Callithrix jacchus: one gene and its partners. The protein of the gene in region 2 interacts with the protein of the main gene of each other region in a pairwise test. Links are inferred from orthologs where the notes say so. Each region holds a gene or a part of one and is shown on either strand. Other genes may lie near its edges.

The links. The genes of interacting proteins can lie anywhere in the genome.
Region 1: the proteins of SGTA (region 2) and FXYD7 interact in binary tests that used the Homo sapiens proteins (3 or more experiments, as listed by UniProt). The two-hybrid records come from large-scale screens. The link is inferred for Callithrix jacchus from reciprocal best matches to the Homo sapiens genes SGTA and FXYD7.
Region 3: the proteins of SGTA (region 2) and TFRC interact in binary tests that used the Homo sapiens proteins (3 or more experiments, as listed by UniProt). The two-hybrid records come from large-scale screens. The link is inferred for Callithrix jacchus from reciprocal best matches to the Homo sapiens genes SGTA and TFRC.

The regions. Positions count from the first base shown.
Region 1 is NC_133523.1:31,480,807-31,485,561, forward strand, and holds the start of FXYD7 (FXYD domain-containing ion transport regulator 7), read left to right. Parts: upstream 1-1,847; 5' UTR 1,848-1,917; coding exon 1,918-1,948; intron 1,949-4,755. Other genes in the region: FXYD1 (phospholemman), read left to right, coding at 121-157, 1,058-1,107, 1,303-1,325. UniProt on the Homo sapiens protein: Associates with and regulates the activity of the sodium/potassium-transporting ATPase (NKA) which catalyzes the hydrolysis of ATP coupled with the exchange of Na(+) and K(+) ions across the plasma membrane.
Region 2 is NC_133523.1:2,624,970-2,629,151, forward strand, and holds the start of SGTA (small glutamine-rich tetratricopeptide repeat-containing protein alpha), read right to left. Parts: upstream 2,801-4,182; 5' UTR 2,766-2,800; coding exon 2,663-2,765; intron 2,092-2,662; exon of another isoform or gene 2,002-2,091; intron 1-2,001. UniProt on the Homo sapiens protein: Co-chaperone that binds misfolded and hydrophobic patches-containing client proteins in the cytosol. Mediates their targeting to the endoplasmic reticulum but also regulates their sorting to the proteasome when targeting fails.
Region 3 is NC_133518.1:80,924,031-80,928,714, forward strand, and holds the start of TFRC (transferrin receptor protein 1), read left to right. Parts: upstream 1-1,776; 5' UTR 1,777-1,835; intron 1,836-2,024; exon of another isoform or gene 2,025-3,251; intron 3,252-4,684. UniProt on the Homo sapiens protein: Cellular uptake of iron occurs via receptor-mediated endocytosis of ligand-occupied transferrin receptor into specialized endosomes. Endosomal acidification leads to iron release.

The sequences.
Region 1 (4,755 bases), about 29 Mb from region 2:
GCCTCTAGCCCCGCCCCGTCCCCTAAGCCCCGCCCCTCGCGAAGCCTAGCTGGAGCAACAGCGCCGCGTGGCGCCCGCCGGAAGGGAGCCTCAGTCTCTCCTACCTCTCCACCCTCACAGGCAGAAAATGCCGGTGCAAGTTCAACCAGCAGCAGAGGTAAGAAGCTCCACCTGGCCATCCCTAGCCCTCTCCCGCTCTGGAGGGCCCCGCGGGTGAGGCGGGAAGTCCCCCTGCCCCGCAGCCCGATCCCCATCAGCGACTATGTTTTAAGCACCTACTATGTGCCCTGGCCCAAGCCGAGCCATGGGCCCAAGCGAGGAAAAAAACCTCCCGCCCTTCCTGGCCGAGCTCCCAGGATAATGGAGGCGGTGGCCATGGGTTCCAACAGCCCACAGATAGAAAAATCACAAATCGTGATAACACGAAGTGCAGGAAAGAAGGAACGGCGGTGAAATGAGATCATCTCACACGCGGCTCAGTTTAGCTTGTAGTCCTGTTCCTAGCTCTTTGATTCATCTTCAAATAAAATGTTAAAGCATGGACAATGTTTGAATATGTTAGACAATTATAGATATTATCATAAGTAGTAGCCAATATTTATTGGGTGTTGTACCACGTGTCAGATACGGTTTCACTTCCTCTGGGAGGGAGGTGAGGTTATTAACTCCGTTTTACAGATGAGGAAACTGAGGCACAGGGAGGTAAAGTCACTTTGCTCAAGATCACTCAAGTGGAAGATGGGTTCTGGGTTTCCAACCCAGGCCATCACGTGGCAGTCTGCCAAATCCCCTTGACCATCCCTCCCCTACCAACTTCGTATCCCCGCCTCCAAATCCGCAGAGGTACTCACTGTTAACCAGCTTGGAAGCCTCCTGCCAGGCACTTAAGCTGCTCCTGGGTGCTCCTCACTTCTGGCGGACCCCGAGCCTGCTTCTCGTCCATATCTGGGCCTCCTTACACCAGTCTGAAAAGGAGGCTTGTACTTGGGGGCTGGTTCCTAGAAGGGCAGCCTCTCCCCGTTTCCATCCCGAAATCTCTCTGCTTCTGTCTTCCCAGGACTGGGGAACCCGATGAAGAGGAGGGAACTTTCCGCAGCTCCATCCGCCGTGAGTTTGGGGAGACCGGTTTTGGGGGGAGGGGGCTGGTTCCAAGGACCCCTTTTCCTGGCCCTCCCGGGTTGCGCAGAGGGAGGGACTGGATCTGAAAGTGGAGGGCAGGGAGTTGCCCCGCCGTGGGCCCCTCCTGCCCAGAAGCTGGGGATCCCCCTCTTAACTGTCCCCCGACCTCCGTGTTCCCCCCAGGTCTGTCCACCCGCAGGCGGTAGAAACACCTGGCACGATGGAACCCTGCCGAGTGCTGCAGGTCTGACACGGCGGGAGGAGGGAAGGGGGGAGGAAGAAAGGGCGGAACAGGGAGGGGGCCAAGTGCCAGGGTGGGAGGGCGGCGAGGGGGGGGGCTGGACGTACCCCCTCGCCTCTCATCCTTTTCACCCCCACAGGACTCCCCTGGCACCTGAGGTCTCCCACGCTCCACCTGCGCGCCCACCGCTCCCTCCGCCGCCCCTTCCCCAGCCCTACCCCGCAGACTCCCCCTGCCTCCCAGATTTCCAATAAAACGTGCATTCCTCTCGACAGCGTTTAGTCGGTTTCCGTCCCTCAGCGCGAAAATCCAGCGCTTCTGGACCCCAGCAGGGGGCGCCCCACCCTAGAGGAAGGGGCGGGGACGACAGTGGTGGGCGGGGGCGGGGGCGGGGGTGGCCTGCACGGGGGCGGGCTCCCCGGGCCCCCATTGGCTACAGGCACCCCCCCACGCCAGGGCTCCCCCCAGCTCCCCTCCACATCGGTCCGTCCTGCTTCCAGCTGCTGCAGCGCGCCTTCGCCGCCAAAGCATCCAGAAGCCCCCTGCTCCATCCGAGCATGGCGACCCCGACCCAGACCCCCACAAAGGGTGAGCGTCGTCTGGGGAGGGGGTTGTAGGGGGGCTCTGTGATCTGAAAGCCTAGGAGAGAGGGTGTTGGGAAATTCCAGCAATGGTAAGGCAGGGGAGTGAGGAGGGGGAGGTCCGCTCCTCCTGCGGGCGGAGGCCCCTGTCCTGCACCCCCCTGCTCGCCCCTCTGGGTCTCTGGGATACCCTCTCCCCGGCGGGCGACCTGTGCGAGACCTGAGGTTGGAGATTGGCAGTCCCGGGAGAAGGGATGCTCGGACAGGTCGCTATGGCAACCGGGTGGCTGGTCCGGCACCGTGGTGGTAGCAGACGGGAAGAGATGGGCTTGCAGGGTGGGAGCGGGTGGGTCTGCGGCCAGACACGCTCTGGAAGATTTCAGGGTCCCTGGGGTGGGCAAGAGAAGGGGAGGAGGTCCATGTCCCTCTTCTTTCCAGTGCTGTCTCCTGGGGTATATGTTTCCTGAAAGAGCCAGGTTCAGAGGAAAGGAGTGAGAGCTGAGGGAAGAGACAGAGAAGGGATAGTCAAGAGACAGAGGGAACCTGGAAGAGACAGAGACCAAGAAAGGCAGAAGATCCAGAGTCACAGACACAAAGACCCAGGAAGAAAAATAGAGGGACTCAGAGAGATTCTCAGTGGAAGGGAAAGGCAGGGAGCCATAGACAGACACAGAGAGAGAAAATGAGAGGCTGGGAGATAGTGGGATTGAGATCGCTGTGGAGAGAGAAGCAGAGACGGACCCATGGGGAGAGTGCAATAGAAAGAGAAGAAGGGAGCAGTCAGTGTGGGGTGGGGCCCAAACCACTGCAGTGAACCCCCATGGGTGGAAATGGGTGATGGGACCTTCCTTCCCAGCCCACAGCAGGGGTGGGTTCTAATCCCAGAGGTGCACTTGGTGTGCACATAGCTGCCCCTACTGCCCCCATACAGCCGCACACTGACTTCCATTCCACACCCATTAACCCAGTTATGCACCCGCTTAAACACCCGCTTCCACCGTCTACCCCTAATAACCCCCATTGCTCAGCTTGCTTCTGCAGAGAAGCAAGGCACAGACTGCTTCAAGAAAGAGCGGGTGCCCAGCCAGGGTCTCTAACACTGAGGGCAGGGCCAGGGGATGGATCAAAGTGCTGAGAAGCCCCTGGCAGTGAAGGGAACCCCAATCCCACTTATGGCTCCCTCCCTTCTGCGCTTCCCAGCAGGCGGGGGCTGCTGCACTGAGCCATATCTGCAGAATCCGAAGCAGGGCGGGGGGTGGGGGGGGCTGCAGAGGCTGGAAGCTACCCTAGGGAGAGGGGGCAGGGCTGAGGCAGCAGGCCTGGCAGGAGCCCAGGGCTTCTTTTTGCAGAGGTGGTGGTTAGCAGGATCGATGGCAGAGACGGGTAGAGGTGGGAGGACAGACTCTTCAACCCCACCTCTTCTGCCTCCCCCTTTCCCAGTCGCAGCATGAGAGGGGACCGCAGGTCTCAGGGAAATCCCGGGGGAGGAAAAGCATGTTGTGCATTACAAACTGCTTAAGGAAACTAATGAATGAATTGTTGGGGAGTGAGGGGGGTAAGAGGGGAGATCGTCTCCCTCCACCCTGCAGAGAATAGGAGGGAGAATTAGGGGTGAACAGAGAGGGATGCAGGAGCACAGGTGGGGCCGGGTCCCTATGCCTGAAATGGACCCTCAGCTTGGCCAGAAACCAGTCCTGCAGGGGCAATAGCAGGAGGTGCAAAAGGAGCAGAGGGGGTCAAGATTGAAACCTGCATCTCACACAGGACCCCACAGGGGACCCCACCCAGCCTGAGGTGCTGGGACCTATCACCTCTCTTCACCTCCCAAGATGCCCCAGTTGCCATAGTAACCACCTCCTTCCAGATATCTCCTTGGCAGCTGGCCAGGAGTAGTGCACATTCTTTTGCCTGACTTCTGGCCCCACCCTTAGCCCAGCCTCGCCTGACAGCCCAGGTTGCTGGGGCAGCAGGGACCCAAGGAGGATCTTCTGCATGGAGCACCAGATTCTGGCACAGGTGATCACCCAGTGGGCTCCCGAAATTTTGGGGAAGGGCAGGTGTGTGGAAAACAGGAGACAAATGAGACAATCCACCTTTTGCAGTCTCCTGCAACCTCAGAGTGCCTCATAATCATTCCTTCATTCATTCACCCCAGAAAACTTGAAGAGCCTTTCATAAATGTCAGGATGAACAGCAGCGATGAGTCAAACAAATTTACTCAGTCTCTGGTGGGGAAACTTACACGGAGCACGAGGGACCCTGAAACAGGGTTTGCCCATCTTGGTGCTTTAGAGTACTACCGTCCCAATTTTTGCTTTATTCAAATATACCTCATACTGCTACTTACCTAATTTTTTCCTTCAAAGGAGTAACTTTTTTGTTTTTATTATTTGAGACAGGGTCTCACTCTGTCACCCAGGCTGGAGTAGAGTGGCGCGATCATAGCTCACTGCAGCCTTAATGGCCTGGGCTTAATCTATCCTCCTGCCTCAGCCTCCTGAGTAGCTGGGCCTACAAGATGCTCAATGATACATCCAGCTAATTTTTGCATTTTTTGCAGCGATGGGTTTTGCTGTGTTTCCCAGGCTGGTCTCAAACTCCTGGGCTCAAGCAGTTCACCCAACTTGACCTCTGCCATGTTTCCCAGGCTGGTCTCAAACTCCTGGGCTCAAGCAGTTCACCCAACTTGACCTCTGCCATGTTTCCCAGGCTGGTCTCAAACTCCTGGGCTTAAGCAATTCACCCGACTTGACCTCCCAAAGTGCTTAGGATCGCAGGTGTGTGCCACCATGCCCAACTCAGGATTAGCTTTTT
Region 2 (4,182 bases):
AAGTTCCTCGGGGAGGCCATTTTTCTCTGGGCCTGTTTCCACCTCAGTGAAAGAGGAAGCAGGCCAGATGTGGTGGGGCACGCCTCTCGTCACAGAACTTTGGAGGCAAGGTGGACCATCACTTGAATCCAGGAGCTTGAGACCAGCCTGACTTGAGAGGCTAAACTCCAAAGTACCCATTACCCTAGACACAAAATTGGGTGCACACACAAAACTTCGTTCACGATTTCACGGAGCCACACGCTCCCAGCTGCCCATGCTGGTAAGGTATCACTGATCTAGCATAGGGTTTTGATTTTTGACGGGGTCTTACTCTGTCACCCAGGCTGGAGTGCAATGGCGTGGTCTCGGCTCACTGCAACCTCAGCCTCCTGGGTTCAAGGGATTCTCCTGCCTCAGCCTCCTGAGTAGTTGGGATGACAGGCACACATGCCACCATGCCCAGCTAATTTTTGTCTCTTCAGTACAGATGGGATTTCACCATGTTGGCCAGGCTGGTCTCAAACTCCTGACCTCAGGCGATCCACCCATATGATAAGGTTTTTAAAGCATGATTGACATTCGACACTAGATTATTCTCTGGGGCGGGGCTATCCTAGGCACTGCAGGGTAGTGAGCAGCATCCCTGGCCTCTACCCACTCCGTACCAGGAGGTCCCCCAAATCATGACAACCACAAGGTCACCAAGTATCCCCGGGGCATAGGACTGTTCCCGGTTGAGACCCGCTGGTCAAGGGAGGGAAAAGACAGACAAAACGAATAATCAGAGACAGAAACAAGGCAAGGCACGGTGGCTCACGCCTGTAATCCCAGCACTGTGGGAGGCTGAGGCGGGTGGATCACGAGGTCAAGAGTTCGAGACCAGCCTGAGCAACATGGTGAAAGCCCTTCTTTACTAAGAATACAAAAATTAGGCGGGCGTGGTGGTGCGTGCCTGTAGTCCCAGCTACTGAGAGAATGACGCAGGACAACTGCTTGGGCCCCAGAGGTGGAGTGAGCCAAGATCACGCCATTGCAACAGAGCAAGACTCCGTCTCAAAACAAAACAAAGCAAAAAAAACCAAAAAACAGAAAAACAAATGAGTGTGCGGGAGCCCAGACATCCCCAGGTGTTCCTGCCCTTCCTGTTGTCACTGTTCTCTATTTGCCTTTGTCATTTTTAACAGTTTCTTTAAAACGCTGTTGTAGGACAGGCATGGGGGCTCACACCTGTAACCCCAGCACTTTGGGAGGCTTAGGCAGACAGATCATCAAGTCAAGAGTTGGAGACCAGCCTGGCCAACATGGTGAAACCCCGTCTCTACTAAAAATACAAAAAAATTAGCCGGGCGTGGTGGCACCAACCTGTAATCCCAGCTACTGGGGAGGCTGAGGCAGGAGAATCGCTTGAACCCAGGAGGTGGAGTGAGCCGAGATGAAGCCACTGCACTCCTGTCTGGGCGACCGAATAAGATTCCGTCTCAGCCGGGCGCGGTGGCTCATGCCTGTAATCCCAGCACTTTGGGAGGCTGAGGCGGGCGGATCACGAGGTCAAGAGATCAAGACCATCCTGGTCAACATGGTGAAACCCCGTCTCTACTAAAAATACAAAAAATTAGCTGGGCACGGTGGCACGTGCCTGTAATCCCAGCTACTTGGGAGGCTGAGGCAGGAGAATTGCCTGAACCCAGGAGGCGGAGGTTGCGGTGAGCCGAGATCGCGCCATTGCACTCCAGCCTGGGTAACAAGAGCAAAACTCCGTCTCAAAAAAAAAAAAAAAGACACAGAAACAAAAGAAAATGGGAGAATCATTCACCCTCTGAGATGCACACTCACGGCAATCTTCTGGCCCCGAATAACAAAAACAGCCGTTCTCAAGCCAGCTCTCTCTTACCAACTTCCAGGCACCCCGTCAAAGAATCCTATGTGGGTTTACCCTCATAAGGACCCTCCGACACATCTGCTTTTACCACTCCTGTTTACGAAAGAAGGGGCGCTTTGCTTAGAGCGGAGGCGACTCACCCAGGTTTACGCAGCGGGTAAGACGTGCTGGAGGGCTGGTCCTGTATCCCACATTGCCCCAACCTCCAGCAAGATATGCAGAAGACGACTCTAAACATGAAATAAGACGAACGGCCGCCAATTCTTCGGGGTTCTCACTTGGCGCTGGGCCCCGCGGCTCTCATTTCCCAGGCAGGGACTTTTGACAGCGTCCGTTTTACAGAGGGGACAACTGAGGCTCCAAAAAGCCAAGAGGCTGGGTAAGGTCACCGAGGTAGGGACTGGCGGCGCTGGGACTAGAGCCCCGACTTGAGTCACCACAAACGGGGGTCCCCGAGTCACAGGAACGACATTTCCAGGCGGTTAATAAGAGCGAGACGGCAGCGGACACCCAGCGAGCGCTCACTACTCCGGGGCGCCTTCACCTCCCGCCGACCTCGCCACCAGCCCGCGGACCAGCATTTCCAGGACCTGGGGTCCGGGACAGGGAGATCGGGGCTCGAACGGCCTGCCCGATGCCTCCCGGCCTCAGTTTCCCCTCCGCGCCACCTACTCACAGGACCCCGCGAGTCGCGGTGACCCTGACCTCACAATCCCCAACCTCTTACGGGCTCTGGGGCCCCGTGAGCCCCGAGCCGCAGACCCCCGATCCCCCAGGCTCAGCACGGAGCCCCTTACTCACCTCTCAGGCGACCGATCCCCGACCCACCGACGGTTGCGCTTGCGCACCGCGGTGCCACCCGGCCCCGGCCCCTGGGCTCCACGCCTGCGCAGAACAAGGGCATCCCGGCTTGCTTCCCTTCTGCGCAGGTGCATTACTGCTCTAAGTGGGCGTGACAGGAAGTGGCGTAACGTAGAGGCGGGTACCAGCTGGTCGTTAGGGCAACTGACCTCTGCGACCTAACGGAGGCCGGAAATCAGGTCTGACTTGCCATCTAAAACAAGCATGAAGCGGTGCATGGTGGGACAGTGGCGGACTGCAACAGGTGGCGGAGCTGACCACGTGGTGCTGGGCCGGCCACGTGGTGCAGCCGCGTTTGGACATCTGGACCTCAGAGCGTCACAGGCGCGCAATGAATGGGAGTCACTGTTATCCGCTCCCTGTCTTTGTTTATTATTTACCCACCCATCTACTCACCCACAAATGCATTCTTTCATGCAATCTATGAGACGTCTGTGAAAATAGAGACATTTGTAGACAGCAGGTGCCTCATATTCAATCAATATTTATTACAAACCAGCCATAAAAATCAGCGAAGTGTCTACTCTCATTATCTTGCATTGGTGTAGACGGACTATCAACTAATAAACTAGTGCATAAATACAGAAACAAGAAATTTCACAGCAAACCCTGCAAAAAAAAAATGAAGGTTGGCCGGGCGCAGTGGCTCAAGCCTGTAATCCCAGCACTTTGGGAGGCTGAGGCGGGTGGATCACAAGGTCGAGAGATCGAGACCAACCTGGTCAACATATGAAACCCCGTCTCTACTAAAAATACAAAAAATTAGCTGGGCATGGTGGCGCGTGCCTGTAATCCCAGCTACTCGGGAGGCTGAGGCAGGAGAATTGCCTGAACCCAGGAGGCGGAGGTTGCGGTGAGCCGAGATCACACCATTGCACTCCAGCCTGGGTAACAAGAGTGAAACTCCGTCTCAAAAAAAAAAAAAAAAAATGAAGGTGCTGTGATTGTGGCTGGGAGCTAGGATGGGTAGGAAAGATCATCGTTTAGATTTGGATTTCAAGGATAGGAAAGTCCAAACTTAAAGTACCCCAGGCACAGGGAACAGCTAAAATGAAGGCTGACGTAAAATTAAGCTTGGTGTGCTCAAGACACCACCCCCCCCCAAAAAAATAGAGACAAAGTGGTGAGAAATTTCCTAGGACAATGGAAAACTTAGCACCATCTGAGTTATAGTTGCCAGAAATGTTCTCTGTTATAAGTAAAAGTTTGATGCTGCAAAAGAAATAGCACTCGAAGACAAATCCTCTCAGCAAGGCAGTTTATTTCTATAGAAGGGTGCAGCTCACTGAGGGAGCGATGCTGACCACATATGTGGGCAAGTGAGAAAAAGGGGTACTTATGCCTGATGGGGGTGGCCCCTACTCCTGTGTCATTCCCCTATTGGCTAGAGTGAGACCGCACAAGCTAGACTAATCCCGATTGGCTCTTTTAAAGGGAGCAGGGGTCCAAGCTGGAGTGGC
Region 3 (4,684 bases), on a different chromosome or scaffold from region 2:
ACTGGAGTGCAGAGGCACGATCTTAGCTCACTGCAACCTCTGCCTTCCGGGTTCAAGCGATTCTCTTGCCTGAGCCTCCTGAGTAGCTGGGACTACAGGCACGTTCCACCATGCTGGATAATTTTCTGTATTTTTAGTAGAGACAGGGTTTCACCATGTTAGCCAGGATGGTCTCAATCTCCTGACCCCGTGATTCCCACGCCTCGGCCTCCCAAAGTGCTGGAATTACAGGCGTGAGCCACCGCGCCTGGCCTAGGGAGAGAGATTTTAGAGAATGGGAGTAAAGAGGCAGGTGGTGAGAAAATCCCAAGTACTTTCTCTGTCTTAGAGCAGAAGAAATAATGGGATAAAGGGAAAAGTAAAAGCCCACGGCCCAGAAACATTTGCTGGGTTGTTTGTATTTGTAAATGTAACCACCTCCCTGGCTCAGGTTACCGACCCGAGGGGGGGGACAGCGGGCGATTGTTTGGAAACAGTTTAAACAGTGACAAGAATTGAATTTTATTTGTTTGCTGCCGGTGGCTCATGCCTGTAATCTCAGCACTTTGAGAGGCCAAGGCGGCTGGATCAAGCGGTCAGAAGTTCAAGACCAGCCTGGCCAAGATGGCGAAACCCCATCTCTACTAAAAATACAGAAATTAATTAGCTGGTCGCGGTGGCGGGCACGTGTCATCTCAGCTATTCGGGGGCTGAGGCAGGAGAATCTCGAACCCCGCGGACGGGAGGTAGCGGGGCGGAGGGTGCACTGAGCTGAGGTCGCGCCATTGCACTCTAGCCTGGGCGACAGGGTGAGAAAAATAAAAATAAAAAAATTAGGGCCGGGCGCGGTGGCGCGTGCCTGTAATCCCAGCACTTTGGGAGGCCGAAGCGGGTGGATCATGAGGTCAGGAGATCGAGACCATCCCGGTCAACATGGCGAAACCCCGTCTCTACTAAAAATACAGAAAATTAGCTGGGCATGGTGGTGCGTGCCTGTAATCCCAGCTGCTCAGGAGGCCGAGGCAGGAGAATTGCCTGAACCCAGGAGGCGGAGGCTGCGGTGAGCCGAGATCGCGCCATTGCACTCCAGCCTGGGTAACAGGAGCCAAACTCCGTCTCAAAAAAAAAAATAATAAAATAAAATAAAAAAATAAAAAATGAAAAACTGAATTCCTCGTTACGCATTGCACAATAACCATAACGGTCATGAAAACGAAAGTTCGCCTCCAATCCCATCACCGCATTCAGTCACTCGTCTGCGTCCTCCCTGTCGGTCCGTCCTGCACTAACGCGACGCGACGCGACGCGCTCCGCCGGTGTCGGTGACAGCGCAGCGTGCACACGTTCCGATAAAAACGCGCGTTTTGCTGTTTGCTCCGTTTTGTATTCCCGAGGCGGCAACACGCACCTTCACACGAGCGGCCGTAACGGCTGCCTACGATCCCCTCCCGCACGGGCGTTCAGGGAGCACCGAAGCGTCCACGCCAGCCGGTCTGACCTTGTCGGTCAAGGTCAGGGGAGGCCGCCGGGTTCCCGGGGCGGGAGGCGTCGAGGCGGAGGTCAGCGCGCCCCTGGCGCGGCTCCTCCGGCACCTGCTGCCTTGGCGCCTTTTCCCCGCGACTTCGCCGGGCCCGGAGCGCCCTCCGCGGAGGACCCCGGGCGCGCGCGCTCCCGCCCCCCGGCGGTCTGTGGAGAGCGCCTCGCTGGGCTACGTGCCTCAGGAAGTGACGCAAGACCCCGGGGGGCGGGGGGGCGGGACCAGGCTATAAACCGCCGGTTCGGGGCCGCAGTGCCCTCAGAGAGCGCCGGGACCTCGCGTGGCGGCTCGGGCTCCGCCGGACGGAGGGCGCGCCAGGGTGAGTGACGCTCGTGTCTTCCCTTCATCCTGCGGGGCTTGCTCGGGCTGCAGCCCCGGTGCGGACCGGCAGCCACAGGGCGCCGCCGCGGGGCGGGAGGGCGGGAGGGCGGCCGGGCGGAGCGGGGCGGGAGGCGGGAGGGCGCCCGGGCGGAGCGGGGCGGGAGGCGGGAGGGCGCCCGGGCGGAGCGGGGCGGGAGGCGGGAGGGCGGCCGGGCGGAGCGGTGAAGGCGGGAGGGCGGCCGGGCGGAGCGGTGAAGGCGGGAGGGCGGCCGGGCGGAGCGGAGCGGTGAAGGCGGGAGGGCGCCCGGGCGGAGCGGTGAAGGCGCCGCGGCGGCGCTGCAGGTGCGCGGGGTGAGAGGCGCCGTTTCGCCGCGCGTCCCTCCGCTTCCGTGCCTTCCCCGCTCTCTGCCTTCTTCCCGCCTGCTGGGTCTCGGAGCGGCGAATGGCTTCCCTGGTTGCTGTGAGGGCGACGCCAGGTGTGCCCCGGTGGGCTCAGCCCGCCATGCTGCTTTCGGCTCCTCGCGGGTGAAAGCTGCGGGCCTCCCGCGCCGGGCCTGGGCTGCGGGTTCGGAGCGCGGCGCGGCCAGGCTGCAGCTGCGCGGCGCGGGGAGCACGTGGCTGCTCCAGGAAGTCGCCCCGGGGAACGGCTGGGATCTGTGGGTGACCTTGGGCTCCTGAACCTCCGCTGCCCCGGGCCCGGGCGGGCGCTGCTCTCGCGAGGAACGGGACAGAGCTGTCCCCGGGTCGGTGACCGGCGTGTCACCCGCAGGAGGTGCGGGTTCTGTAAACGGACACCTGGGCTCTGGCACCCCCTGGCCCTGCCTGTTCGCCCCGAGCGCGCATCCCGTTTTCGCCGGAGAATGGACCCAGCCTTGGGCGGGCGGGCGGGCGGGCACGCCGAGGATGTCGCTGGCAGTTGTCACCCAAGGCGGAGGCCGCAGGAGTGGCTTACTTGCGAAGGACACGGGAAATGAGCGGTGCGGTCAGAGGGCCGTGCTGTACTGACCACGCGGACGGGCCCGTGCGTCCTTTCTGCCGGACGGCGCTTTAAGGTGGCGGTTGGGAGGGTGGGTAAGAAAACATGCTCTGATTCAGCTCTTTTCCCTCTGCTCACTGCTCGTGGAGACCTTGGGTACGTCCCTTACCGTGCAGGGGACTGGATTCTGCGGCATTTTCCATGTTCCTCCCGGTGGATAAGAGGATTAAGGAGGACATTGTATTTGGCGACCCCATAACTTGTATGCTAAGCTCACTGTGAACACGAAGGTTAGGCTCTCTACAGGACTTGTAGACCCTGCTGGTTTTTTACCCCGTCAATGCTGGGTTACAATGTGCTTCTCGAGGGTTTGTCATTGATACTGCAGCGTTAGATACGGCATGGCATCCTCCAGTTTCCTTTGAAGTGGCTATCAAGGTATGGTGGCTGTAACCCTAGCCTGTGTTGAAGACGGTTGGATAGACAGCAGTTAGGCTAAATCTGCCCTAAGGCGAGGCAGTGGCTTCCCTCTGATAATGTACTTAAATGTCACGGAGCAAGGTTCCCAGCTAAACCTGAAGAACCACAATGAAAGCTACTTTGGCCAGGCCGCGTGGTTCACGCCTGTAATCCTAGCACTTTGGGAGGCACAGGCAGGCGGATCGCCTGAGGTTAGGAGTTCGAGACCAGCCCAACCAACGTGGTGAAACCCCGTCTGTATTAAAAATAGAAAAATTAGCTGGGCGAGGTGGCCAACGCCTGTAATCCCAGCTACTTGGAAGGCTGAGGCAGGAGAATCACTTGAACCCAGGAAGCAGAGGTTGCAGTGAGCCGAGATCGGGCTGCTGCACTCTAGCCTGGGCGACAGAGCAAGACTCCATCTCAAAACAAAATAAAACAAAATAAAAAAACTTCCCTATTAAACCATAAGAGTGGCAGGAATGGGGAAAGATTCCAGGTCCAATGTTTTCATTATGTTTTTCATATCATTTGAAATCTCAGGCATCAAGCATGCTCCAATACTATTAAATAATATTTTTACAGGTAGTTCAGTATCAGTTATTACAGGATAGGGAAGACAGTCAGAGAAGGCTTCATAGAGATGGCCCTTGAGCTGAGCCTGGAAGAAATGAGGAGGACCTCAAGGAACAGAGGAAGAATGTTAGTGGGTGAAAGCATGGGCTGGATTCTGTCCGATTTTGGAGAAAATAGACGGTAGTGAAGTTGTTAGGCTAAATGTGTTTAGAACAGAGCTTCTAAAGCAAGCAGAGAAACTTCGGTTTATCTGAGCTCCAAGGACTTGAAACAGTGGCCTGGTTTATAAACTGAGGTGGGCTTGTCAGTAGTAACAAACGTGGCTTACTTAAGAAAAGTGAAGTAGCGGCTTTGGGTATGTTTGGCATAGGTGAAATTTTGGTATCTGATCCCCACTGAGCTTCGTGTAGATCTCTAATTTTGAGTCTGTACAAAGAAGCCCCAAACCTCCAGATAAGTACTGCATTTAGAAAACTGAATAGAGTTTAATGCCGTATTTTAATAAAGTAGGAATGATTCAATTTTAAAGAAGTTTGGGAGCTGGGTGCAGTGGCTCACGCCTGTAACTTTAGCATTTAGAGAGGCTGAGGCAGGCGGAACACTTGAGGCCAGGAATTGGAGACCGGCCTGGCCAACATGGCAAGAAACTCTTTCTCTAATAAAAATACAAAAAGTTAGCTGGGAATGGTATTGTACGCCTATAATTCCAGCTACTCCAGAAACTGAGGCACAAGAATTACTTGAGCCTGGGAGGCAGAGGTTGCAGTGAGCCAAAATGACCCCATTGCACTTCAACCCAGGTGACAGAGCCAGACCCTGTCTCAAAAAGAAAAAAA